Tamandua tetradactyla: one gene and its partners. The protein of the gene in region 4 binds, or shares a complex with, the protein of the main gene of each other region. Links are inferred from orthologs where the notes say so. Each region holds a gene or a part of one and is shown on either strand. Other genes may lie near its edges.

The links.
Region 1: POLR1B (region 4) and TAF1B share a complex: the UniProt entries of both Homo sapiens proteins name them as parts of the pol I pre-initiation complex. The link is inferred for Tamandua tetradactyla from reciprocal best matches to the Homo sapiens genes POLR1B and TAF1B.
Region 2: POLR1B (region 4) and POLR1F share a complex: the UniProt entries of both Homo sapiens proteins name them as parts of the RNA polymerase I (Pol I) complex. The link is inferred for Tamandua tetradactyla from reciprocal best matches to the Homo sapiens genes POLR1B and POLR1F.
Region 3: POLR1B (region 4) and POLR2H share a complex: the UniProt entries of both Homo sapiens proteins name them as parts of the pol I pre-initiation complex. The link is inferred for Tamandua tetradactyla from reciprocal best matches to the Homo sapiens genes POLR1B and POLR2H.

What each region holds. Positions count from the first base shown.
Region 1 is NC_135329.1:56,006,952-56,014,395, reverse strand, and holds the start of TAF1B (TATA box-binding protein-associated factor RNA polymerase I subunit B), read right to left. Parts: upstream 3,014-7,444; 5' UTR 2,811-3,013; coding exon 2,793-2,810; exon of another isoform or gene 2,621-2,792; intron 1,471-2,620; coding exon 1,372-1,470; intron 1-1,371. UniProt on the Homo sapiens protein: Component of RNA polymerase I core factor complex that acts as a GTF2B/TFIIB-like factor and plays a key role in multiple steps during transcription initiation such as pre-initiation complex (PIC) assembly and postpolymerase recruitment events in polymerase I (Pol I) transcription.
Region 2 is NC_135327.1:104,391,897-104,399,303, reverse strand, and holds the start of POLR1F (DNA-directed RNA polymerase I subunit RPA43), read right to left. Parts: upstream 3,015-7,407; 5' UTR 2,951-3,014; coding exon 2,697-2,950; intron 1-2,696. UniProt on the Homo sapiens protein: Component of RNA polymerase I (Pol I), a DNA-dependent RNA polymerase which synthesizes ribosomal RNA precursors using the four ribonucleoside triphosphates as substrates.
Region 3 is NC_135336.1:2,711,242-2,718,128, reverse strand, and holds the start of POLR2H (DNA-directed RNA polymerases I, II, and III subunit RPABC3), read right to left. Parts: upstream 3,009-6,887; 5' UTR 2,607-3,008; coding exon 2,534-2,606; intron 1,049-2,533; coding exon 965-1,048; intron 882-964; coding exon 788-881; intron 242-787; coding exon 158-241; intron 1-157. Other genes in the region: CLCN2 (chloride channel protein 2), read left to right, coding at 4,487-4,558, 6,730-6,886. UniProt on the Homo sapiens protein: DNA-dependent RNA polymerase catalyzes the transcription of DNA into RNA using the four ribonucleoside triphosphates as substrates.
Region 4 is NC_135343.1:496,709-503,711, forward strand, and holds the start of POLR1B (DNA-directed RNA polymerase I subunit RPA2), read right to left. Parts: upstream 3,002-7,003; 5' UTR 2,975-3,001; coding exon 2,801-2,974; intron 1,653-2,800; coding exon 1,485-1,652; intron 1,248-1,484; coding exon 1,101-1,247; intron 1-1,100. UniProt on the Homo sapiens protein: Catalytic core component of RNA polymerase I (Pol I), a DNA-dependent RNA polymerase which synthesizes ribosomal RNA precursors using the four ribonucleoside triphosphates as substrates.

The DNA of each region.
Region 1 (7,444 bases), on a different chromosome or scaffold from region 4:
GAAACAAATAGAAACATTATCACATGCAGAAATAAAAGAAGCAATTAGCTAATATAGCTCAATTTCTACAAAAATAGTATACTGACTTTGCAGACAGTAAACAGTCCATTTAGTTATCATGTTTCTTCATTATGTTTACATTTGCACTGCTGGTGCAAAACAATGGTAAGTAAAATCGCTAGAGACTTAACACAAATCAAGGCAGAGGCACCAAACGGAATATATTTATAAAGCGTACAATTTGATGAGCTGTCCTTGAAACCATCAACACAATCAAGATAATTAGCATGCCCATCACCCCAACAATTTCATCAAGCAAGAACAAATCTTTTTAACACTATGTGTGAACACATGGGAAGTACACACGAGCCCTTCAGCTGAAGACTGAAGTACAACAATTGTCTCAAGGAAAAGCACTTGTGCAATTGAGCTGCCAGCTAAATTAACCACTTTTCTCAAAGAAAACATTTTTTTTTTACTTGTTTCATATATTTTGCCCAGGTTTGCAGCTGTTTCAAGTAGGAAAATAAATATGGTCCCAGGGACTTCATCTTGCCCAGAAGTCTACACATTTACTTTTATCTGCTCCATATTTGTCTTTCTTAAGCTTACTTGGTGAATGTGATTATTTGCTCCATCTTGCCTCTGTAGACTCGGAGCAAATCCCTTTCAACAGAGTCCTGCATTTTAGCAGGCTGTCCACACCTTTGATTATTTTGGTTCTGTTACTCTTACAGCGTGAAACCAGAACAGGACCAAGAGCTCCCCGTTCACCAAGATCACACAGAACTGCATGATAATTTCTATTTTAAGAGGCAGGTGTGGTGGGGTGAAAAGAACCCCAGAGTAAGGAAGACTCATGCTCAAGTTCTGGCTCAGACACTTCACACTTGGTACCTTTAGCAAGCTCACTCAAATCCTGTGAACCCTAGATGCTTCATCTATATACTCACATAACATATCTCACAGTTCCCTATGAAGAAGAAATGAGATAAGAAAACACTTTGTAATCTGTAAGGTACTGTACAAAAATAAAATGATATGAAGCATATTAAAAGCTCTTAAGCATTAACTAACATAGAAATGTATCATCTTCTGAGTACAATTTCAATTATTTCCCCTTAAATCTTAAATGCCGAATCAGAAAATCATTTAAAAGTGTGGCCCAACTTAATTTTAAAAACTCACCTTAAATCTAATTCACAAATTCCTTAACCCGTGTGTAAGTACTTGAAGACTACTTACATTTCTTGGAATTTTCACATTTCATGAGTGATAAAAATAAATATTCTTTGGGAACTGTGTTATATATCAGGCTGAAACTGCAATTTTGAAGCAAACGAATTCATAAATGATACATCAATTACTTACTTCTGTAACATTGTGGCACGAAGTGCAATAATATTTGCCTTCATCGGTAAGGCCCCAAGAGACAGCAGCACACTGAGTACAGCGTTCTTTGAACTCTTTCTATAGGAAAAGAGGATAGAAAAGGTGTTAACGAACAAATTACACTTAATACATTTTATAAATGAAAATCATCGAAATAAAAATAAATCAGAGGCGAATAACAATTCAGTCTCTGAACCAGTATAAAGCAAATCAAACTCTTTTCTAAAATATATATAGTGTGAGGAAAAAGAAGAAAAGGTGGTAAGGGTAAAACTGCAAACAGAGAAGAGTAAATAAAACTCCTTGAAAACACTGAATGAAAAAAAGGCAAGCTTTAAGTATAGAGAAGACTTAAAACATAGAAATAGCATATCATTTGGAACCTCCTTCAGGTCCCTAAAAACACACACTCACCACAAAGAAACCAGATTTTTATTAGAATTGTTTCAAGTTTCATTGTATTCATTCAGCAATTATAATGAGTATCAACTATTATAGTTATTTGAGTATAACTAAATGTATCAGGCATTTTACTAGACGCTAGGGATTCAATGGTGAGTGAAACAGACGTGATCCCTACGTGATCCCTACTCAGAGTATACATGCTAATGGTGAGTTATAATTATTAATGTATATTAACCATTCATCAATCAATGAACACTTATTGAGCAGCTATTATGAGTAAGGCCTTCTATCATCATACTGCTTCTGTACGTCAAAGACCTAACTCTGACTGACACTAAATCACTGATTCCTAATGTCTTAGGTGTTGCACAACTTATTATTCTTGATAAGAAGACCTAACACTTCGTCGACACCATTAAAGAATGCAGCATTTTATGAGGCATGTCAAAAATGAAAGCAAAATTGTTCTGACAACGTGGTCAAGTCTTCAACGACCCCATGCTGATAACTACCTTAACATTGGGGTGTCCGCAAACCGGTATTTGGAATCACTGCACCAGACCGAGGCGAGGATTCCCAGAGAGATCTGCAGGGGTTACTTGGGTGGATTCTGGTTCCAGCCTCTGCCCCTCCCTCCCCCACCACAGCATCAATGGGAACTTGTGGGTGGTCCGGTTGACAAAGGATGCGCCATGTGGGTGGCCTCCCCACAAAACCCACAACCTCATCTTCCTCCTTAAACACACCCATATCACAAACAAACCACCCTGCCTGCACCCACAACCTCGCTGAGCCTGAAACTCCTGTCTCGTTCCCAAGAACTCGAGTCGCCCGCCAACCCTGGCCCGTTTCCCGGCCTCGCATCCTTCCGGCCCGCCCCTCTACTTTCGGCGGCCTGCCTCACAGCCACTTAGCATCCTCCAACCCCTTCCCCTTAGCCTCACTCCGCTCCAGTCCCAGCTGTGCCCCGGCAGCCAGCGGCACCGCCTCCTTACCGCCTCCTCTAGGTCCATAACGGCGCCGCCCCCGTCGCCGCCACCACCGCCGCCGGGCACTATGAACCGGGTCTGGAGCGCAGCTTTCGGGAGCGGATAGTGCAGCCCTCCTGCCGGAAACAGGAAGCCCTGGCTTTGGGTTCCGGGTGCCTGCGGCCTCGGTGAAACCTGGACAAGCTCTGGGGGCAAAACTGCGTAAATCCGGTAGGCGCTTCTAGTCTTGCTAACTAAAACCAGCCAATAAACAATTGGGCGGGGCCTGCTGCCGAACTAATCCAATCACGCCTCGTTCTAATGGTGGTGCCTTACAGGACCCATTTTTTCGTTGCGAGACTTAGGGAGGCTAGGGAGGGCCAAGTTCCAGAGCTAGAGCTACCCGCGCTCACAATGCACGGCTTCCTTTCTCCACCCCTTACTGGGTTTTTTTTTTTTTTTAATAAGGGAAATGAGGCAATTGGAATGCCAATTTTATTTAGTAAACAAAACAGCATCTTCGCTGACTGACAAAATCTATCCAACTATTAAAAGCAAAACAAAATTATCTTAAGAGATAGTCATACAGATCTTGGTATTACCTACAGGTATACGTTTAAAGAGAGAGGGACAGACAGACACAGAATATTGAAGCGGAATACTGCATCTGAAATTGCCTGATAAAATTCAGAGAGAGCGAGTGAGGGAGTCAGAAGCAGGGATATCATGTCATATTTTCTCTCTTCTTCAGTGAGTCTTTTAACGTCTTCCACAAGCTGTCTTTTCTGTTCAGTTTCTTCTCCATCAGAGGAGGTGGATTCCTTGCAGCTTTCCCTCACATGAAGAAGGCATCAATACAGAATCTGAGGGCAACTGGGGTCTCACCGAAAGTGCAGTTATATTCTCCCACCAGACTCAGGCCTTCTGTGGATACCCAAATTTTCAACATAGTAGTTCTTCAATGTTGAAATTTTCACAAAAGCCTAGGACTCTTTTCTTTTCTTTTTTTAATTAATTAAAAAAAATTAACAACAAACAAAACATTAAGATATCATTCCATTCTACATATACAATCAGTAATTCCCAATACCATCACATAGTTGCACATTCATCATTTCTTAGAACATTTGCATCGATCCAGAAAAAGAAATAAAAAGACAACAGAAAAAGAAATAAAATGATAACAGAGAAAAAAAAGATTATACATACCATACCCCTTACCCCTTGCTCTCATTTACCACTAGCATTTCAAACTAAATTTATTTTAACATTTGTTCCCCCTATTATTTATTTTTATTCCATATGTTCTACTCTTTTGTTGATATGGTAGATAAAAGGAGCATCAGACACAAGGTTTTCACATTCACAGAGTCTCATTGTGAACGCTATATCACTATACAATCATCATCAAGAAACATGGCTACTGAAACACAGCTCTACATTTTCAGGCAGTTCCCTCCAGCCTCTCCACTACATCTTGAACAGCAAGGTGATATCTACTTAATGCGTAAGAATAATCTCCAGGATAACCTCTCGACTCTGTTTGGAATCTCTCAGCCATTGACACTTAGTCTCATTTCACTCTTCCCCCTTTAGTCAAGAAGGTTCTCTCAATCCCTTGATGTTAATTCTCAGCTCATTCTAGGGTTTTTCTCAGTCCCTTGATGCTGAGTCTTAGCTCATTCCAGGATCTCTGTCCCATGTTGCCAGGAAGGTAGGACTCTTTTTTTACCACAATCTCTGCCTCATCACCTAGAACATAGAGACTGTGGGCCTGAAGAGATGGTGCATGGGACAGGTGCATTTTGATGCAGAGCAAGATGGAAGAAAAGGTTGAGAAAAGAGACACTTTCTGGAGGGATCAGGCTTGCAGGGAGGGAGGCATGAGGAGAGGGAGTACTTAACCGGCCTTTTTTTTTTCTTGCTGGCTTTCAATAGCATGGATGAGATATTTGAAAAAGAACACAAGTTGTTGCATCAGACCTGGTTTTCTAATCACATTTTTCATTTTATTTTACTTTGTTTTGTTTTCTGTTTTTACTTACTTCAGTTTGCCTCCTCTGTAAAAGTTAGTTATTTCTTGATTGCCAAGAAATGGAATGTCCCAGATGTCTGTCAACAGACCAGTGGCTAAACAAGCTGTGGTATATACATACGATGGAATATTATGCAGCTGTAAGACAAAATAAAGTCATGAAGCATATAACAATGTGAATGAACCTTGAGGAAATTATGCTAAGTGAAATTAACCAGAAATAAAAGGACAAATACAGTATGGTTTCACTAATTTGAACTAACATTAATGAGTGAACTTTGAGGGTTAAAGTTAAGAACACGGGTTATCAGGAGATAGAAATAGGATAGAGATTGGACAATTGGTGCTGAAGGAATACAAATTGTGCAACAGAACTGATTGTAAAAATTCAGAAATGGATAGCACAGTACTACCTGACTGTAGCACAATAATATAAGTAAAAGGTTTTAAGATATGAGGTATTTGAGAGAAAGGAAAGTAGACAAAAGGATTGTAAATGAGCATGCTTTATTGGGCTGCACTCAGGGGCAGAGCTCACCGAACCCAAGAGGGACGGAGGTGAGTCCCCGCATGAGCTTTGGCGAGTGCAGTTTTTAAGGGCAGGGGTTAGGTGATGACATGAAAGGGGCAGCATATTAAACAAAGGATTATTATGCTAACGGGTTGAGCAGCGGGTGGTTAGATGTCCGTGAATAGATGTTTGCTGCTCAAGGACCTTGATTGTAATGGTTCACCTCCCTTCACCTCCTGTTCTGGAGTGACTTCATGATTCCAGCCTTACAGCCCTCCCTTATTCCCCCGACCTAACAATAAGTACGCTAAATGAAGCTGAATGTGATTATGATTGAGGGAGAAGGGCTGGGGGCACATATGAAACCAGAAGGAAAGGTAGATAAAGACTGAATTGACATAATTTAGGAATGACTAAAGGGGACAATGACAGTGATTAAATGTGCAAATAAAAAACGTTTCTGCATGAGGGAGAACAAATGATGGTCCACATTGCAAGATGTTGAAAATGTGTGCTGGTTTGAAAGGATGTATGCACCCTAGAAAAGCCATGTTTTAATCAAAATCCCATTTCATAAAGGCAGAATAATCCCTATTCAATACTGTAGTTTGAAACTGTAATCAGATCATCTCCCCGGATGATGTGATTTAGTCAAGAGTGGTTGTTAAACTGGATTAGGTGAGGACATGTATCCACCCATCTGGATGGGTCTTGATTGGTTTATTGAAGTCCTATAAAAGAGAAAACATTTTGGAGAATGGGAGATTTGGAGAGAGCAGGGAATGCTGCAGCACCACGAAGCAGAGTCCACCAGCCAGCAGCCTTAGGAGATGAAGAAGAAAAGTGCCTCCCGGGAAGCTTCATGAAACAGGAAGCCAGGAGAAGGAGGTAGCAGATGAAGAACTCTGACTGTGTTCGCCATGTGCCCTTCTACTTGAGAGAGAAACCCTGGACTTCATCAGCCTTCTTGAACCAAGGTGTTTTTCCCTGGATGGATGCCTTTGATTGGACATATGTGTAGACTTGTTTTAATTCGGACTCGGCCTTAGTCCCAATTAATAAGTTGTAAACTAGCAACTTATTAAATTCCGCCTTTCAAAAGCCATTCCATTTCTGGTATATTGCATTCCATCAGCTAGCAAACTAGAACAGATGGTATACAGGAAAAAGTACAATCAATGCAATCTAGGGTCTGTAGTCATCAGTAACACTGTAATATGCTTCCACTGAATATAACAAAGGCATTATGCCAAAACTAAATGCCAAGAAGGAGGGGCATGGGGCAAGGTATGGATTCTCTGTGGAAGAAAAAGAAGTGTCTTCGTATAGGTTCTGGTGGCAACATCATGTCTCTATACTTAAGTTGGATTTATGATATGTGAATAAAACTGTTTAAAAACGAACAGAGAGAAACAAGTGCTAGAAAAAAATGCAGAAAAAAAGATGTACCTATTCATTGTCAGTAGGGAAAATGAGAGTTGCAGCCCCTTGGAGGGCAGTGTGGTGATTCCACAGGAGGCTAGGGGTAGGGTTGTCATATAATCCTGAAATCCATTTGTGGGGACACAAATGGATATTTGCACACCAGTGTTTATGGGAGCAGTGCTAAAAAATCAATGTGGTATTGGTGCAAAGTTAAAGAAAAAGATTAATGAAATTGAATGGAAAGTCCAGAAACTGACCCCTAAATACATATAAGATTAACTGATTTACAACAAAGGTGCCATTACAAATCAGTGGGGAGTGGATGGTTTTTCTATAAATGGTACTGTATCAGTTGAGCATTGATAAGAAAAAAATATTGACCCCTGCTCACACTCTATACAAATATTAATTTGAAATAAATCATAGAATGACGTGATGAATAAAATCATAAAGTTTCTAGAAAACAACATAGAATATCTTCATGATATGGAGCAAGCCAAGGTTCTTAAACAAGCATTAACCATGAAAAATAAGATTGCTAACTTGTACTTCATTAAAATTAAGAGCTCTAGTTCATTAAAAGATATTGTTAAACCAAATCAAAAACTAAGATAAGATATCCACAATACATATATTCAAGAAAGGACTTCTATCCATAACAGATACTAAATACCTACAAATCAATTAAAACAATAAACAACTCAACTA
Region 2 (7,407 bases), on a different chromosome or scaffold from region 4:
CAAACCTTTGTGAGAGCAACTTACAGCATGTAACTTACTAGAAGTCATCAGAAATCTAAACAAAGACACTCCAACATATATTTCCTTTCCTCCTTTACTTTTACTATCTATCTCAAGTAGGCTTCAGGGTAGGTGTTACTCCCACTTGGCAAATTTAGGGAACAATTACATCAAGTTTAAGGGACTTAGAGTGTACCTTTAAGACTTCTCCGGAACTACTGAGGGAACACATTCGCCAACTTCAAATAACACAAGAACTATCATATGGAAGGAAGATAAGGTTTTTTTTCTGAACGACCCAAAGGCACAACTTAGAAGTTATAATGTCATTTTAGAAAACTACTTACTTTCTCTAAGAAAAGTTGAAATGGGATACCTTTAAAGAATATCCTGGCTCTGGGGGGAAAGGTGGAGGGGAGCAGATAGTCTGTCAAATAGGGGATGCTGTTGAGACAACTTAACACTAATCTGCCAAACCATCTTCAGTCCTCCTTTTTCCTCAATCCCTAACAAGGAGAAGCAAGTAAGTTTACTGATTTTAAAGGATGGCCATAAAGTTTAGAAATATAAACAACTAGGTATGCCAAATGGTCAATTGGTATTACATTATAATTCACAATATGTTCAATGTGTTATCTTTCATCACAATGCATGGTTCAATGTGTGGTGCATTACTGCAGCATTTCTATTAATCTCTGGACATAAAAAATCTGATTTGCTGACTTAGATGACTTGGGTGTTCTGTACATAATTATACCTATGTCTTTAGCTTACCCCACAAGTAATGGGAGTAAGGTGGGTCCAGATCTGCTCAGAACGCAGCTTCTTCCACATGTACATATTTGTCCAATTTAGCTACAGAAATTATCATTCAATCAGTCCCTCACTACTCTGGTGTAGCCAGGCATCTACTGGAGCAATTATGGTTGACTTTCTTATAGCAGGCTAAGTGGAAGATTAACTGGTTACAGAAAGTAGTAAGATCTATCAGTCACCTATTTTTCCAGATTTTCTCTCTCAAATCCATCCTATCATCACTTTTCTCTTTGATGATTATAGATATCTCTTAACTGGTTTCTGTGTCTACTGCCTTAACCTCCTTAAACCATCATCTAATGGTACCAAAGTGATGTTTCTAAAACTGCGTTTTAGAAATGTGTTTATGTTCCAGGGACCACTGACATGTACCACTCTCTCAACAGAGTACCAATTTCAGAATTAGAGTGTAATGAAGGATACAGTGCTAACCCTGCTTAAGCACATTAAAAACAAACAAACAAAAAAAAAAGGCAAAGGGAGGAAGGGAAGAGCAAAATGATCATCCCTTCTGAGCCCCCTTTTCTCCATAATCTCACTGTGTTCACGGCAGTGTCCTTAATACCCTGCTCTCCTCTCCAATTGCACCCACTGCCTTTCCCCTGACATAGACTCTATTCTAGCTATATTGTACTTATAGATCCATGGTCATAGCATACTGTTTCACATCTCTATCCATTTGTTTATGCCACTCTACCTGTAACACTATTACCATCTCAAATTACTCCTCCTATCATATCGTTCTCAAAGTTCCCACGATTCAATTCACCACTCTTCCTGTTGCTGTATCTTTACAGAGTTCTGTCAAATTTTAACACGTCAGTGGATCTGACTTATATCTCTTTACTGGATCTTAAAGTTCCTTGAAGCTGAGATCTTGTTTTTTGTTTGTTTGTTTTTGTACTCCATGTCCCTGATGTACAACACAGACACAACAAATGCTTGTTGGTGCTTGTAGAAAACTGTATATGACTGATTGAAATGATTGGTTCTTAACATGGGTAGAGTTCAGGATCTCTTGAGAAAATGGCAAAAGTTTTGAATGCTGTCCCCAAGGAAATTGACATAGAAAATCCCTGCAATTTCCAGAGGTTCATGGAATTTCTGAAATCATAAATTCCTAAGGAATCCATTCACCAATAGTTTTGGACTTCTGTTTTTAGGATAAAGTAGCCCAGACTAGTATTAAAGCACATCTTTTTTCATATATGTAAATTCTTAAGAATTTTCAAGTAATTTTGAAAACCTTGATTTAAATGCATGAGGTCCCCACTCCCCTTCACTTCCAAGAGCAAAAGGCAAATCAAGTAGGCTGAACAAACCGCTCTTAAAAAACAAAGAATTAATGGTATTTCTCTCATCCCCACTGGGGCCCAAACAATAACCAAAACCATCCTTTAGGTTTTATAATTAAACATTTGTACTCATGCTTCATGGACAATTTTCTGTGAGTCTACTGAGATGCTGCATTCCAAATTTTCATCTGTCAAACGAGGAAACGTTATCCGGAAGGGGATAATCGAGGAGCTAAATGTTAACAAACCTGGGCCTACCCGGGTTCCATACCTCTGGTCTCTTCTTACCCTACCATGGCTTTGGAAGAAGCTTTTCCACTCCCCCCACCCACACGTCACTTCACCTTTCAGTTTTCTGTCTACGAAAGGGCCTCTGTGCAGATCTCGACCACCGCAGTACTGGCTTTGGGGGGTGAACGGAGACCCCTGAACTTCTTCGGGTCTTTAAGCTCCCAGGGGGCCGCTGCGACTTTGACTATCTGCTACTTCTTCAGAACATCCACTCGGTGTCCCCTCCTCCCCTGCCCGAAAGGAGACGCAGATTACATTATAACGCTGCCCCGGAGAAGAAAAAGAGACTGGTACCTCTCGGAATAGCGCAGAAGCTCCGCATCGAGCTGTTCTCGGATGCCGGTGCGTTTCCTGTTCAGGTAGCGCGGCGACAACGCGATGTGCCTCCGGTGAGGCCCGGCCACCAAGCAGGAGTAGCGGCTACTCACCAGAGCGCAAGCGGCACTGTAGGTCGGCAACTCTAAGCAAGACAGGGTGCCGGCCGATCCCACCAGGGGCGCCTCAGAGGCCACCTTTGGCCGCAGAATCTCTGAGCGAGCCGCAGCCATGCGGCTTGCCAGCTTTCCCACGGCGCGTAAAACTGACCCCTACCCGTCTCTCTCCCGACGCCCGGTTTTGACGTCATCCACTAGTTACCCTGCCTGGAGGCGTTTCCCTTCTTTGAGCGGCATTACGCACACGTATATGACCAGCAGGGGGCAACCGCGAGCCTGGAGGACTGCGGAAAAGCGGAACCTGCGGTGCTTACTGAGCATGCGCAGAGGACAAACTGTTTTCACAGAGCAACCAAGTGTGTTTATCGGTAACATCCTCCCCTTTGAATTTGTATATGGCCTTAGTGGGGATTCCCGCTCTGAATATTTCCAGTAGTAATTTGGTAGGATTTTTTGGACCTCACAAGTAGTCAGTAAATATGGAGTCTATTTTATGCGGAAAACCCAATCCCTAAAAGCTGCTCCGATGCCTCAAATGCAGCAAACCAGAAAGCGAATCAACCTTCTCTCGCCAGTTTGGTTCTCCTCGTTCTGCAATCGCGAATTCAGGGAATCGAACCACCACCGGTCATCCAACCCACCTGTCATCCTTGGCGTCCAAACATCCAATCAGACTCCAGGGGTCTTTGGGCTCAAAGTAGAAACATCTGACTCTTCAAATTCTTCCGTCCATTCCCGCTTCCAAAACCACAAGACAAGTCTCTCTCCTCTCCTGCCTGTGGAAACCTAGCCTAAAGGAGAGAAGGATATTCTCTGGAGCCGCCAAATCTTTGAAACACAAATCATGATCATCTTGAGCCCTGTTTTGTAGCCCTCTATAAGCACCGCGTTTTCCTGACGATGACTCCAAACTCAATATGGCTCACAGATTATAAGTCCTTTTATGATCTTCTCGTTCCTTCTCTCTTAAACATCATCTTCCCTCTCTCATTCTCAATCGTGTAGTCTCAAGCATGCTCCCTCTCGCTCTCTCTTTGGCTCTTCAGACTGTTCCTCTGACTGGGAATATGGTAACTTCTCTCATATGGGTAACTTCTAATCATGCATCGATTTTTAGCTCAGGTTTTATATTCTCTTTCTCTGCAAGGAGTTTGCCACCATCTCTGCCCCTTTTTCCCCAGTAGGGTTTAGTTATTTCCTCATCTATGTATGTCACCACTGTGAGGCATTTGTATTTAATGGCACCTGCCCTTTTGCTTGCCTATTCCGTTGCTAGACTCCAAGCTTTCTAAGATGGGGACTGTGATAAATGTCTTGTTCACCACTGCAATCCCCCTCATGATTTTAAAAAAAGGAAATACAGCTACCCTAAATGAATGAATAGTGAATGAATGAAATAACTGATGATAAAGAACTCACAGCCTATATGAGAAAATGAGAATTAAACATAAACATAACATGGGTTACACCGGGTAAGTTCAAAGAGAAAAGTATGGTAACGAGCGATGCCAGTACTAAATCCCTCCTTCTCTCTGTCTACCCCCCACACCTTGTATCCTAGTTTCCTGGCTACAATCCCAAATACAAAGTGGGTTGACTTAAACAATGGGAATTTATTTGTTCATGGTTTTGAGGCTATGGGAAGTCCAGAATTGAGGTATCAGCAAGGCAGTGCTTTCTCCCTGAAGGCCATGCCGTTCTGGGGCGGGCTGCTGGCAATCCTGTGTCCCTGGCTTTTCCAACACATGGTAATGGCAACATCTTCTTTTCCTTCTGGATTCTGTTGACTTCCAGCTTCTGTTGCTCCCTGGTGACTTTCTTCCTATGGCCTTATGAATAAGGCCTCACTGATAGGATTAAGACACATCCCGACTCAGTTGGCCAATTAATGATGGGTTCACATGCACCACGAATGGCTTAAGAATATGTTTTTTTTTCTGGGGTACATAACCCGAGCCTTCCACACCTAGATACTACAAAAGGTGATGGATTGAATTGTGTTCCCCTAAAATACATGTTCAATTCCTTATCCTCCGTCCTGTAACTGAGTTTAATTGTAAATTAGGATCTTTGAAGATGTTGTTAGTTAAAATGAAGCCAGTCTATATTAAGGTGGGCCCTAATCCAATGTGATGGTATCCTTATAAACAGAGGAAATTTGAAAACACTCGGTAAGACCCAGAGAGAAGAAGGACATGTGACAGAGGTGGAGATTCCATTCTGGAGTGCCAATAAGCCATTGCCCGAACGCTACAGACTTCAGAGGAGCAAAATCCTGCTGACACCTTAAATTTGGACTTCTGGCCTCCAACCCTGTGAGATGATAAGTTCTTGTTTTTGAAGCCAACTCGTTTGTGGCACTTTGTTACAGCAGTTCTAGCAAACTAAGACAATCTCTAAACTCTTGAAATTTGTTTCCTTACTTTAAAATAGAGATATAGTACTTGCCCTATCTAAAAGCAATATTAGAATGTTCAAATAAGGTAAATAAGTATTTTCTTCAGAATTCTTTAATTGACTTCAAACTGACATGAGATGATAATGGGGTGAAACTTCTCCCAAAACCTCATGATAGACATTTAAGTCCATAAGTGGGAAATGTAGCAACTTTTACCTTGATTTTGTCTTAAAACACCCCTGTGAAGACCCCTTCCTGCAGTGGTTCTCAACTTTGACTAAACATTAACATCATCTAGGTGCTTTAAAAAAATCTTGATGCCTACAGGGACTTCAGATCAATTAAACCAAAACTTCTTAGGGTGAGACACAGACATTAATGGTTTTGAAACTCTACAGGTGATTACACTGTGCAGTTAGATGAATCTAGATTGGCTCCAGATGATTTGAATACAAACAGTTTGTCCAAAAGCAATTTAAAAGTAAGCTAGACATCAGGGCAATCTAGCCCAAACAAAACTGTCTCAAGTCAAATATCCCAGTAATGAATTTCCATAGATAATAAATGCAGTGCCCCATGGAGTAGTTTTGTAACCTTTCATGTGTCCACAAGCAATTTCCTTGATTTTTGCAAACTGCTTCCTACTATTTTTTCTTAAATTCTGGCTTAATTGTTAGCCACTATCTATACTCTGCACAGTTAGGAAGAGTGAAAAGTTGAGTCAGTTTGCAGGTAAATGTCACTATTATGGAGTTACTATATCAGATTAGCCTGTCCCAGCTGTCATCCAGGGATGAAGGAAACAGTTGTATCATGAGACCTCTCCCACCTGCCTCCTGCCCCATAGACATACACAGATGTTATTAGATCAGGTACCTCTTAGCTGGTCTGAATCAACTTATCCTTGTGTATTTTGACCTTAGAAAAGACCTTAAAAATTTTGCACTTAGAAAAGAATCTGGATTATAAATACCATGTATTAATACTAGTTATCTCTTGTGAATGGATTTTGCTCTTTAATTTGGGTGAATTTTCATAAATTATAGTAATAAGCAAATACTGTTGTGTGCTAAAATAGCAATCAGAAACTTAATCAGTGAAATGAACCCTTTGGTTGAATTTTGGTTATTATAGGAAATTCTCTATTATTAGATAGTTTAATAGTGCAAAATGAAGAGTATAGGTGCTAGGGTCAACTGTGTGAGTTTGAATCCTGGTCCTGCCACCTCCTAGGTGTGTGACTTTAGGCAAGTTCCTTTCCTCATTTTTTATAAAGTTGAAGTTATTAGAGTGGGCTTTAATGAGGAAATGGAATTAGACAGGAGTTCTGACCTATGGATTAAGGATTACATAAAAGAGTTTCATAAAAAGTACATTCCAAGTAAAAAGAACAGTGTATCAGTTGGCTTTTAGTACATTAAAAATTATCCTCAAGTCTAGTGGCTCTAAGTAACAACCATGAATTTATCTAGAAATTCTATGGGTAGACACTTTGGACTTTGCTCAACTAGAGGATTCTTCTGGCTTCAACAGGGCTCACTCATGCTCCCATGGTCAGCTGCTAGGTTAGCTGGGGGTTGGCTCATCTAGGATAGCCTTAGATGTAATGGCCAACTTTGCTGGATATGGTGTCTCCTCTTCTAGCAGGTTGGATGGAGCTTGCTTTCCAGGCAGTTGTACAGGTTTCCACTAGAGAGAATGGAAGCACATGACACATCTTGGTGCCTAAACTCTGGGACTTACACAGTGTTAATCCAAATCATGGAAAGCTTCTGATCTCAAATCCTTTGTCCTTTGCCCGAGAGGCTGAGGGCCTACTTCTGATGCATACTTGCACATATTGGAAGTCCCTACATACACCTAAGTTGGATAAAGAACAATAATAGTACTGACAGGAAGGGTTTCATCATTCTTATTTGGCTGATTTTATCAAACTGGTAGAGTGTGTGATGATTTCATCAAAACCTCAATAACCACCAATATCACATCATCATGGCTAACCTTTTTACAAATCTACCAGTCACTGTGCTAAGTGCTTTATGCAAATTACCTTATTTCACTAACAGAATCATTTTGAGTTCAATACAATTATTGTATATATTTACAGGTGAGGAAAGTAGATTTTAAATGTTAACTGTACAATGGTGGCAATCCTAACTGTCAAAATCTGTCT
Region 3 (6,887 bases), on a different chromosome or scaffold from region 4:
GGCGAAGTGAGCAGCCTATATTTTAAACTTGGAACCTTTCCAGAACAGTTTCCTTCTGAGGTGCTTGTGGAAAAGGACCCAAAACAGGAAGCTCAGCATGGCTCAAATTTTCAGGACAGGGAGGGGAGAAAGGGTCTCACAAGACCACCAAACTTACAGACGTGTTGCTGCTTCAGTAGAAGTTTCATCTCCCTCAATCCTATACACTTTACCATACATTACATATTCAAATTGGTCAGCCCTGTGAAACAACAGTGACAAAGTTATCGTTTATAGTAATTAACAATAAGAAGAAGCCCTTTTAAAATGTTAACAAGTAACTAAATGCCAGAATTATAACAGGCACTTTACAGATACGCTATTATTTAATCTTCACAGCATCTCTGTAGGCTAGATATAACTGTCTCTATTTTAATGATGAGGGAGATACTGAGGCCAAAAGAGGTTAAGGATATTGAGCAAATAAGCAATAGAGCTGAGATTTGAACTCATGGAGCTCCAAAGCCTTTCCACCATACCAAGCTCTCTCCCAAAATCCAAACCTCATATCACCTATGTCACATAGTGGTCATTCTCTCAGCCATCAAAAAACTACAACTCACAAGCATGTAATCACTGCTTGATAAATACCTGTCTATCTCAATTCTTAAATGCAGCAATTTCCTTGAGGTTACTCAGATTCTGCTGATAATCATTTATTCCATGAATTAAATAAGGGTCTTTCTACGCCACTTTATCTACTCGTCCTCAGAGGGTATTTCAATTAGCCTCTTCTCAACTCCCTCACCTGGAAGGCCGGTCATCTGTGGGGTTGTATTCACCATCATCTAGTGTACCATCTTCATACAAGGTACTGGCTATGACCAATCGGAATTTGTCACCTGGAAATAACGCCAATATACGAGCATGAAAACAAGTTGTAACATCAAAAAGTCCCTTGCTATTATCTGTGTACAACACTTACCCAAATCTACAGGGTAAATCTGAATGTTTACATCTAAGATGAGGTCCATCTTGAAAGATTCGCTCTCACAATGCAGTCGAGACACTGGGGGGAGTGAAAAAAGAGGGCAGAAGTAACTGCCATGCCCAGAACAGACCCACTTTGGGGGTTATATGCGACAGAGCACAATCGAACCCAGCTGCTCTGCATTCACTGGCGTCTCCTCCACTCTCATAGAAGTACAGGCTCCACCAGAACCAGATATGCAAGAAGGAAAAGGGGATGAAAACTATGGCTAGGAAATGGAGTCCCCCGAAGAGAATCAAAGGTCCTCTGGCAGGGAATAATATCCAGGTTCTAGCCCTGTATAGGTAAGAAACTACCTGACTGGGCAACGTATTCATTCATCCACAGGTTTAGTCTTTCTGTGTTAGGCTATGTGCTGAGAGGATTGCCAGGATGTATAAGGACTGGTGTGCACCTGAAAGAACATTTTGGTCTCCAGGCAAAGGAAGAGACACCAAGGAGAAACAATTATTGATCAGTGACAGAACATTTATACCAAGTAGTTAACTAACTCAGAGAGGACTTCACAAACAGCTAAGGATTCTGAAGGCAATACAATATAAACTCAGAATTCAGATTATTTGCTGTGCACCCTAGGGTGGGTTATTTAACCTCTCCGGCAAAATACAGAAGTCACCACTTACCTCATGGGGGCTGTGGAATGAGTAAGATAAAGTGTGTGTGAGGTGCACAATGGAAAGCGTAGCAGAGCAGGGAGCGATTATTATTATTATTATTTTACTTTTTTATTTTTTTAAACATAACAACATGCAAAAACGAACATTCTTACCATACGATCATTCCATTCTTGATATATAATCAATAACTCACAATATCATCACATAGTTGTATATTCATCACCATGATCATTCCTTAGAACATTTGCATCAATTCAGAAAAAGAAAAAAATAAACTCATACATATCATACCCCTAACCGCCCCTCCCACTGACCGCCAGTATTTCCATCTACCCAATATATTTTAGCCTTTGTTTCCCCTATTTTTTTCTATACCCCTTATCACGCCCTTTCATTGATCACTAGCATTTCAATCTACTAAATTAATTTTAACATTTGTTCCCCCTATTATTTATTTTTAATCCCTATGTTTTACTCATCTGTCCATACCGTAGATAGGAGCATCAGACACAAGGTTTTCACAATCACACAGTCACACTGCAAAAGCTATATCATTATACAATCATCTTCAAGAAACATGGCTACTTGAACACAGAGGGAGCGATTATAATTACGAAAGATAACCAATCTGCACCGTGACAAAACGCCACCCAGGCACTGGGCACAGCATGTGTGAAGCCAGGGAGAACTCGCAATCTAAGTTTCCTCAACAATAAAAACAATAATGTTGTTGTTTCCAAACAACAATTTCCTAAGGGAGGTCCCCTACATCACGGCCTGCCGGTAAGGGCAGGCCACGCAAGTCAGGACGAGACGGGGGACCCGGGGGCGTGTCGCAGAGGAGGGCTATAGCCCCTTCCCCTCCAAGCGCGCCGGCAATCCTTACCTCGGTCAAACTTCTTGCCCTCCGGGTCAATGTCTTTCACATCGAAAATATCTTCAAACAGGATGCCCGCCATCGTGAAAAGGCCACGAGAGCAGCGGGGGTGCCGGATGCGCGACCACGACTGGGGGTCCGCACACCCCCTCGTGTGGATTTTAGAAGAGTGGAAGGAAAAGGATAGCGCCTAAACAGCGGGAGCCAGGGCGTCGCGCATGCGCAAAGCTGGCCATAGTGCCTCTACTTCCGTCGCGTTCCTCTCGGGGCTTCATAACTTCCGCTCCCAGTAATAGCATCCGAGAGATTCCAGGACTGGGGGGCGGGGCTCCGGTTGGCCCCGCCCCTGACCGAGGCAGAGGTGGTGCGAGTTCTCTAGCTGGCCTGGTCTCCACTGCGCCCTCTTCAGACTCTCGGTTGCGAAGGCGGGAAAGCGTGGAGGCATACCTCTGACTGGGACCTTGATCCTTGGCCCAGAGAAGCCCGGCCCTAGCCCTACCCTGCCGGTCCGCGTGTCTGCCGAGGGCACAGTCCGCCCCGAGGGCGGGCGGAGCAGAACCCCGCCTCGGGGGCACTGGCTAGGCAAGGCGCCGTGCCCAGGCCCTCCAGCTGGGATCGAGGTCCCCCGGGGCGGCCCGGACCGGCTTGCCCTGCTAGACGTCACCTGAGCCGGGTCCGTCCGGTTTGGGAATTTGCCGTGATGTCACCACAGGGAAAAGGAAAACCTGCACTGTCCCCTCCCCACCACTGCTCTCTTGTCCTGGGCCCTGCTCGCTTCCCCGGCCGCCCTCCCCGGAGAATTGCCCCTCAAGCCGGATGATGCCCATTCCCCCACCACTGCCCTCTCCCTCTGGACACTGATCTCCTGTATACCCCTGCATCTCGGCACAATCCTCTTCTTGGCTACCAGCTCTTTCCTCGCACTGCCCCTTCCTCCTGGGGCTGGCTCCCCTCCCCCTGCGCACCCTCTCTGCCTCTTTCATCCTGGTGCTGCTCCGTCCCGTATGCTACCCCTTTCCTAACTGCCCTCGCCCTCTCACTAACTTCGCTCTGGTATTGCCTATCCACCGTTGGGCTTCCCCAACTCTGTACCCTATCTTTCCCCGGACCCTGACAGGGGACACCAAGCCCCCGCAGGCCGTTCCCCTAGGGTGGCGAGACGTGAGCAGCTCCTCGAGCTTCTCTTAGGGCCCAGCGGGGGAGAAGCGACCTCTGCCCCCCACGCCCGCCAACCAGGAGTGGCCGCTCCGACACCCAGCTCTCCCTTCCCGCGGGCCTTACCCCTCTCCAATCCCTCCCTACCTCGTCAGCCACTCCACCCCCACCCCCAGGCCAGGTTCCTCCAAGTGCACCTCCGAGAGGCGGGGGTCCGGAGGAAGGGGAGGAGGACGGAGCCCCAGGGTCTCGGTACCAAGAAGCACCTCCCCTCCCCACCGCTCTTTTGTCCAAAATGCCCCCTTAGAGAGGTCTATCCAGGCCCAGCCGAGCCTTTAGGGCCACCCCCCACCCCCACCCCCACCCCCACCCCTGCCGGAGCAGAGAGGACGGCGCTCCTTAGGTTCCTTTAGACAGCTCCAACAGCCCCCGACTCCAGGCCAGTCGGCCTCACGGTCGCCGACTCCTCCACGTGCCAGCGGACCGGCCCCCGCCCCAGCCCCGGGTGCTCGCACGGCCCCGCGCCCTCGGCCGCCCCTCCCGAGCCAAGGAAGGCGGCCCCAAAGCAGACCCCGACTGCGCTGGGCCGGGCTCTAGCGGCGCACAGGACCCCGCCCCCGGCCCGCCCGCCCGGGAGGGGACGCGAGCGGGAGGCTCCGCCAGGGCGCCCGGTTGGGGCGCGCCGCACTCTCCACTCGGCCCGGGCTGCGGGGACAGGACGGGGGCCGGCGCAGGCTCTGCGTGCTTGGAGCTGAGTCCCGACCCGGGTCGGAGCTGCAGACGGAGGCGAAAGGGCCCCGCGCAGCGATGGCGGCGGCGGCTGCCGCGGCGGCGGAGGAAGGGATGGAGCCGCGGGCGCTGCAGTACGAGCAGACCCTGGTAAGTGAAGCCGAGCCGAGCCCTTAGGGTGCACTCCGGCACCGCGGCTCCAATTCACCCTTTGGAGGCGCCAGGAGTGGGCCTACGCTGAACCCACCCCAGCCTTCTGAGATGGGGAAACTGAGGCTAAGGGATCTGAAAGGCTGGAGGGTCAGAGGGGTCGAAAGCTACATGCAGGCTAGGGGCCTGCAGAGGACACCAGGTGCTTGTCCCAGGTATCTCTTCCTTTACCCGTCCCCACCACACACACACACACACATGCACACGTTTTCCTTTCTCCTCCCCCACACCACTTTGGTCCAATTCTTGCACCCCCACTACCCGTCCCACCACCACACACACACCAAGGACTTTCTCCTCACGCTCCACCATCGTGCATGATGCATGGCACTGTGCTAGACGTAGAAACAAGGTGTAGAAAGATAATCAGACCTAAACCCAGCCCCTACCCCTGGGGGCTGACAACCAGCCTTGCCTGGGCCCTTCAGTCAATTCGCTGAGAAAAGACATCCTGCTACCAGCCCTGGGGAACAGGAGCTTGGGGAGGACCGGTCAACAGGAATGGGTGTGGGAACTGGGACCTTTGTCCATGCTGACTCTGAATATCCAGTCCCCCACCCATTCCAGGGGTGTCCCTTGACCTCATTAAAAGCAGGGGTCTTGGGGCTCTGAGCTCACTCAAGGCCAGCACTGTTACTTAATTTTGAGAAGCCAAATGCCCCTCCTTTGGTCACTGGGGAAGGACCTTCAAGCTCCAGGGAAGAGAACGGATCCTGTGGCTCTTTTTCATTACCTTGAGCTAGAATTTGCCCAGAAAGGTGGCAAGGAGGGAACTTCTCTAGGAGGAAGGGCCCTGGGCTGTAACTGAGGCTGGGAAGTACCTAGTTACAAGAGAGATGGCAGGGGTGGAGTGGAGTGCGGTTAGCAGGGCAAGCATTAGGATAGGATAGAAGGTTTCCGTCAGTCTTACAGGCCGAGGATGGGACATTGGTCCCAAAATGGTATTTGTCTGTCTGTCGCACCAGCCACATCTCTATCTCCTTTGCCTCTGTCCCTATCTCTGGAATGAGCTCCCAGGGTCAAGCTGTCTCTCTGCACTCTCTGCTCCAGCCTCTCCCCTTTCCCTATCTGATCCCTTTGTCTTTCTCTCACCCACTCACCTCCCCCCTGCTACACTGTGTCTGCTTCTTTATACTCTGCTTTCCTTCTCTTTCATGCTCCCTACTTCTTCCCCTCTCCTGCCTCCTTCTTCTTGTCCCTTCCCCTTGCTTCTCTTTTCTGTTTTTCCCTCCTCCTCTTTCTACTTCTCTTCCCTCTCTCCTATCTCTCACCCTCTCTGTGTTTCTATCTTTCCCTCCCCCTCCCCACCCCCAGCCCCAACAGGAGCCCTTTGTGTCCCGAAGCTCTGCGGGTGGCAGCCGGAATCTCCTCCTCCCCACCCCCTAACACACGCCCAGCTTGGCAGGTCTGGCCATGGCGACTCTCCCCCATCCCATGGCGGGAGCATCCAGTCACAGGCCAACCGCTGGCAACCTCTGCTGTCCCCCAGCCCACCACTGGGCTCAGGGCAGCAGCATGGGACTAAGGCCACTGAGCACCCTCCACTCATCCTAGCTAGCTGGGCTGGCAAGCAGTTGGGGAGGGGCGGGGTGGGGAATGAGGACAAGGGGATTATGGTGGGTGGGAGGGGTTGCAGCTGAGTGGATCACAGGCCAGAGGCCCAGCAAGAACGTGATAAGGATTGGGGCCCCCGCCTGTGCCCGGGCCCAACTCTGAGCTGCCCCCAGCTGCCCTTGACCATCCCTTATTCTCTGACCTTCTTTCCTCCCACTTTCAGATTGTATTTTAGGCCTTTTCCTCCTCTGGGGCCTTCCTTCTCACTCCTCCTCAGTCCCCCCACCCCTACCCAGGCCTGTGAGAAGAGGACTGATTACTCAGCCACCCCCAGAGCTGAGTCCCTATACCTTGGCTGTCCCCATCACTCAGGCCAGTACAGCGCCCACAGTCTGCAATGTGTATTGTTCCCAAACCCGGAGTCAGAGGGGAACAGTGTGTTCCGAGGGGGGTCTGCAATGTGGGACTGGGAGAAAGGGAGCCGAGGCATCAGGGGCCCTCCCTGCATTCCCTCTTGGCCCACTTCTGCCAACACCCCATCTTCCCTATTGCTCCAGATGTATGGCCGGTATACTCAGGACCTTGGGGCCTTTGCCAAAGAGGAAGCTGCTCGGATCCGCCTGGGAGGGCCTGAGCCCTGGAGGAATCTCCCATCCCCTCGGACTCCCCCAGAGCTCCTGGAATATGGACAGAGTCGTTGTGCCCGATGTCGCAG
Region 4 (7,003 bases):
TGGAAAAAGATTCCAGGGACATGGGAGGGAATATGGAAGGAAATCAGGTTACTTTCCCAATCCCACTACTTGGTATATATACTCAAAAGAACTGGAAGCAGGAACTCGACAGATATTTGTACACCGTGTTCATAGCGCCATTATCCACAAGTGCTACAAGATGGAAGCAGTATTATTCACAAGTGCTAAAAGATGGAAGTGTCTATCAACCCAATAATGCATAATGCGTTCAGAGCATGGTCTTTCAGTTTGGGATGATAGGATGTTGTGGTAATTGAGGGTGGTGAGGGTAGCAAGACATATGCATGTAACCAACCCCAATGAACTGGAAATTCGGGAGTGGCTGAGAAGGGAAATCTGTAAAATCACAATTTTTAAAAGAGACAACAACAATTGACATGATCCTGGACTGGCTCTAATAACGGAGGAGAAAATGCCCAAAAGGACAATATTGGGACAAGTGAAAAAGCTGGAATATAGAGTGTACGCTTTACTATCAACATTAAATTTCTTGGACTTGATAACTGAATTTAAATGTGGTTACATAAACGAGTATTGCTGTTCTCAAGAAATATACATGGAAGCATTAATGTTAAAGGAACATGATATATGTAACCTATGCCCAATGTTTAGAAAAACAGATTGAGACAGAATGAGATAAAAAATGTGATAAAATGTTAAAAGATCATAATTCTGGGTAGGGGGTATTTGGGAGTTCTCTATTGGTTTTGTATTATTTTTACAACTTGGCTTAAGTTTGAAATTATTTCAAAATAAAAAGTTAAAAAGCAGACAAATTTCCTGGAATTATGTCTTTAAATTTGCATCGTTCAGAAAATAGAGGAAAATCTGCAAATTCTTCTGCCACAGCAAAAACACTCCTGGATAGCACAGCGACACTTTCATATACCGACTCATCTGAACTGTCACATCCTAAGCCCTATGCAGGATGGAGACAAGACATCACGTCCCATTTTATGTACCGAGAAATGGGAGCAGAGAAAGAAAAACTGACTCCCAAGAAGCCTCAGGGTTTCTCACTCCCAAACCTGCTCCCTCCTACCACAGGACCTTTCAGGGCACCGGGTCCCAGCAATCACCTCTGCTTCCTCATGGTGCTCGATGAGGGCTTTTGGAGGAAGGCCGTGTAAGTTGCAAAGCTTAGATTTCACCATAATGGGAACATAGCCAAGAAACTGTTTAATAACTCCTTTTGAGATTCCATTCACTGCCCAACTGATATCAGCCTAAATAAAAATGAGAAAAAAATTACTTAATAAAAAAGAAAAATTATCTGGATCTTCGAGAAAAAATGAGAATTTCAAAACAGTGAGGAAAAAGACCACAAATTATTTTATGATTTAGATTTAAAAGACGGGTTCTCCTAGATCACTGTACTAAGAAAGCATTCCGGTATAAACTCATAAGATACACCCTTAACCAGAGTTGTGAAGTGTCAGAGCCACGATGTCATGTGTACTCACTGTCAATCTCCCCCGGTAGGTACTCCTTCGGCCTCGGCATTCTGCTGGGTAAACCTTAAGCTCTTTACAGATGCTCCCTTTTGGAACTGTGGGTGGGCTGATGGCAGCATCCACAATAGTAAGAGAGAGGCGCTCATCTTGGAAAGCAAATTCGAAGGGAGGTATAGCCTGAAATACAATTCACACTGTTAAATGACTGCACTTCCAGGGCACTTTTTCTCAAAGACTCTGAGACCCCATGTGTTCTACATGCACTGATGCTTATAGTGCCAAGGTGATAACACATCTAAAAAAACCGGCTACAGCCAATTGCTTTGGAACATAAACTGCAACGGCCCCCACATTACCTGCAGAAAAGAATGCAAGTACCCGAGTCTGACAACCAAAGTCCTTCATGTTATCTCAATTCTTACTGAAAACACAAATTCTACTCAACAGAAACGTCAGGCCGCAGAGCGTTCCCTGAGAATGCGGTTCTGCTCCTTCACTTTCACTGGAGGGAATGAACTCTCCTCTTCCCTTCGACTCCCCGAATCTGGACCTTTCTCATACACCTGGCTGCATTTCCTATATGCACCGACAGCAGCTACTCAACCTGGGCCGAGCAGTTCTCAGGAGAATCCCTGTCTCAGACCCCCACCCGGCCCCCCGTGAAACCGACACTCAAAAGCAAGCTCTGCGTCCCCGTTCCCCTCACAGCCAGGCGCGATCATCAGGCGAGACCTTTCCCCACCACCTTCTCGACCACTTAGGGCTGAGCACAGGCGAGTAAGATGCCTGACACCTTTTCTACTGCAGAGGACGTCCTACTTTCCCGGGAGTGCCACAAGAAACCCTGCCTCTACAGCTCACTCACGTTTTCCTCGACACCTGACTCATTCAGAGCGTGGTTTTCTTCTCTAAAGCGCTAAGCGGGGAAAAAGAAAGAAAGCTGAGAGAGGACCCAGCACTTCACAGCCCACGCAGGAACAGGCTCAACACCTTTCGAGGAAAGCGGTCCCGCGGTATAGAAGTCCGCACGGCGTGAACGGTCGGGAAGCACAGCGACAGCGCGTGGCCTCCTCCCGGCCTCAGGACCCAGAATCCGCACAGTTCGCAGTCACCCACAAACCCAGAAAACCACAAGCCCAACTCCCCGTTCGCAACCGGACAGGTCTCCAGGGGCCAAAGGCCGCCCCTCGCACCCGCTCCTCCGCCAGTCCGCTCCCGGCGCATGCACGGCGCCTCGAAACACGACGGAGCCCGAGCCCCGGCGGCCGTGCTGGGCGCGCCCGGCCTCTCCCCGCCCGCCTCGAGCAGCGGGGCGCCGCCCTCACCTGCACCGCGCGGCCCAGCCCCTCGTGCACCGCGTAGTTGAAGGACTCCACGTGCGCCCGCGTCAGCTCCTGCAAGGCGGGCTCCTGCTGTTCGCGCGGGGCCCCGTAGGCGGGGTCGGTCAGGTGCCTCAGGCTGGGCCCGGGGACTCCGCGCCCCGAGCCGCCGGGACCCATCGCACGCCTGCGGCCGAACCTCGGGGCGGCATGCGCGCCGGAAGGGCCTCGGGCCGCGCGCCGGAAGTGCGTCGCGCCCGCTCCGCCCGCCCTGCTGTCCCTCGCGTTTCCCTGGCCGACTAGGAAGCCGAGCCCCGAAAGGAAGGGCCCGGGTCAAGCTGCGCGGCGCCGAGGCGAAGGTGCGCGGCGCCCCCTGCCCGCCCCCGCGGAGGGGCCGCCGTCTGCGGCGTGCTCGGCGGGCGGCGCACCGACTGCGCGCTTCCGGCCCTGCCCGCGGCCCCCAGCCCAGCCCAGGCCGAGGACCGAGCGCCGCCCGGCTCGCCGCCGCCGCCCCCGCGCTCGCCTGGCGCGCTGCGTCCCCGCGCGGCGGGTCATCGGAACCTCCCCGGCCCCTCGCTGCGCTTGGCTCCGTGGGCGGGTCCTCCGCCGGGTGCAGCTCCCTTCGCTTCTTACAAGGCAGCGTATTCCGTCCCCAGAGTTCTCCCGCCTCCCGCCTCTGGACGCTACAGCGCCCCAGGGCTCAGGGCTGGCCAGGTCTCTTCTCCAGCCTCTCCCTGCTTGGACTGTCCGTCCGTCATCCGTCCATCATCCGTCCATCATCCACCCATCCATCTTCCATCCATCCTTCTACCATCCATCTATCATCATCTGTCCATCATCCATCCATCTATCAGTCATCCATCCGTCCATGATCCACCCATCCCTCATCCACCCATCAATCATCCGTCCATCATCCATCCATCTATCAATCATCCATCCGTCCATCCATCATCCCTCCCTCACCCACCCATCCATCATCCATCCATCCTTCTACCATCCATCTATCATCATCTGTCCATCATCCATCCATCTATCAATCATCCATCCGTCCATGATCCACCCATCCCTCATCCACCCATCAATCATCCGTCCATCATCCATCCATCTATCAATCATCCATCCGTCCATGATCCACCCATCAATCATCCGTCCATCATCCATCCATCTATCAATCATCCATCCGTCCATCCATCATCCCTCCCTCACCCACCCATCCATCATCCATCCATCCTTCTACCATCCATCCATCTATCCACCACCCCATCCGTCTATACCCAGCTCTCCACCTAACACCGTCCCTGGGGATCAATGGCCACCTCACACTTTAGATGTCTGAAGCAGTGCTGGCTCTCTCCCTCCCTCTCTCTCTCCCTCTCTCTCTCTCCCTCTCTCCCTCTCTCTCTCTCTCCCTCCCTCTCTCTCTCCCTCTCCCTCTCTCTCTCTCCCTCCCTCTCTCTCTCTCTCTCTCCCTCTCTCCCTCCCTCCCTCCCTCTCTCTCTCTCTCTCTCCCTCCCTCCCTCCCTCCCTCCCCTACTTTTGGAATAGCATCACATCTTGTGGGCTGTATCTCCCAAACATGGCCTGACCTTGGCTGATTCTGACACCTCTACTGCTGTCATCTCAGTCCAGGAGTTTTCCAGTGTTGGGGTTACTGACGTTTTGGGGGTGGGGGTGGTGCATGGCCCGGGAATCAAACCCGGGTCTCCCTCGTGGAAGGCGCGCATTCTACCACTGAACCACCCAGGCATCCGCCACTATCGACATTTTGAGCTCGATAATTCTTTGTTGTGGGACCATAGTCTATTTGTCAAAACTAAGAAAGAGACATTGATGCATTGCTTTTAACCAAATTCCATATTTTATTTGAATTTCTAATTTTTTTCCCCATTAATGTCCTCTTTCTGTCCCAGGACCCAATCCAAGGTGTTACATTGCATTTGGTTGTCCTGTTGCCCCTGTCCCCTCTGATCTGTGATAGCGTTTTAGTTTTTCCTTGATTTTCACGACCTTGGCAGTGCTGTGGCGACTGTCCAGGTGTCTTGGGCATTGTATCCCAGTTTGGGTTTCTTTGTTGTCTTCCCTGGGTGACCCCAGGGCGTGGCTGGGAGGATGCTGGAGGGGAGGTCTTGGGCACACAGGGGTGCATGGAAGCCCCGTCCCTGGTGAGGCTGACCTTCAGCACTGGGTCGAGGTCGTGTCTGCCTGGTCTCTTTGGCTTTGAGGTAGTGTGCTTCCCTCTCCGTCCTCTGTTCTTCAGAGGCCGGTCACTAGGCCCAGCCCCTTCTTCAGGGCTGAGGTGGGAATTGACTTCTGTGTCCTGTAGACGGTTCATATCTACACACGTGACTACGTGTCTCCTCTCCCCTTATTTATTATTCAGTCATCTATATCAGTATCATTTCATGTTTGTTCTTTGGGTTATATTTTCATACTACGTCTTTTTTTGGGGGGCTCAGATTGTTCCCGCTTTGGCCTTTGGGAACTGTCTCAGGTGACTCCTGTGACCTTTGAGATGTGCCCATCCTTTTGTTTCTTGAGAACTTACTTTCTGGTCCCAAGGCCATGTTTGTGACCCAAGGAGGGGACACAGAATGAAATTCCCTACTAGTTAGAATGTATACTTGGCATCTTTTTCCATCAGAGACTGCTGGGGTAAAAGCTTTGTTTCTCACTTTTAGCTATTACTGAGTGACTAGGATTCATATCAGATAATCACGTACTGCTCCTAGTCACAAAAGTCCTATGAAGGAAGAATCGATGAATGAAGCTGATCTGGATGGGACTAAGGTAAATCAGAATACAGAGTAAAGGATGATATTATTCATATTTTGAAAGTTCAGCTTCTCTGTGAGACCAAAGAGAGGGATTTTTTTTGGGTGCAAAACATATTTTGGGTAGTGCATTTCCTAATTTAACTTGTGGGGTCAGTTTAGTTGAACACTAAAAGTACATGGAATCTTGAATAGGGTATGAGATTTTGTTGGTTGTCGAGGTTAGTGTGATGCCCCGATATATCCCAGAGTGATCTGGGCAGTGAATAAAGAAGCACTTGCAAAATTCCCTTTGGGCACTGGGAAGAGGAGGAAATATTCAACTTCCCCAATCGGAGAATTTCACATATTCCTGAAAGCAGTGGAGACAACCAATTCAATAGGCCAAGCCCTTGATCTTGGGGTTTGCTCCTGTGGAACTATCCCTGCAAAAGATAGGCTAAGCCTACTTAAAATTGGTCCTAAGAGTCACCCCCAGAGAACCTCTTTTGTTGCTGCGATGTGGCCTCTCTCTAAGCCGACACGGCACGTGAACTCACAGCCCTCCCCCACCCCCCACCCCCCACGTGGGACACGACTCCCAGGGGTGTACATCTCCCTGGCAACGTGAGACCAAAACCCCGGGATGAGCTGAGGCCCAGCATCAGGAATTGAGAAAGCCTTCTTGACCACAAGGGGGAAGAGAGAAATGAGACAAAGTTTCAGTGGCTGAGAGATTTCAAAATGAGTCGAGAGGTTATCCTGGAGGTTATTCTTACGCATTATATAGATATCCCTTTTTAGTTTATGTATTGGAGAGGCTGGAGGGAAGCACCTGAAACTGTAGAGCTGTGTTCCAGTAGATTTGGTTCTTGAAGACAACTGTATAAAGATTTAGTTTTACAATGTGACTGTGTGATTGTGAAAACCTTGCAGCTGATGCTCCCTTTATCCAGGGTACGGATGGAGAATGAACAAATAATGGGGGGGGGCAAAGGTTAAAATAAATTGGGTAGATTGAAGTACTAGTGGTCAGTGAGAGGGAGAGGCAATGAGTATGTATGGATGGATTTTTTTATTTGTTTTTCTGGAGCAGGTGTTCTGAAAAGGATCATGGTGATGAATACACAATTATGTGATGATGTGTGGGATGTTTCTATGTTCAGATTTATGAATAAAAATAAATATTTTTAAATCCTGTCAAGTACCTGAACACATTCACACTGGATGTGTATATTCGGTGATTATTTTGGTGGCTTTGATCATTTTGGAACAATTCTATAGTTCTAGTCAACTGATAAAATACTTATTTCCATTATTAATTGATATTTTCATTTTCATAAGACATAGGTTTCTAAGAACCAATTTAAAATACATCTGAGAATGAATTTTAAATGCACAATTTAAAGTTAACAGAACGTGTCTACAACTGTGAAGCGGAATGAAACAGCCTCAGGTA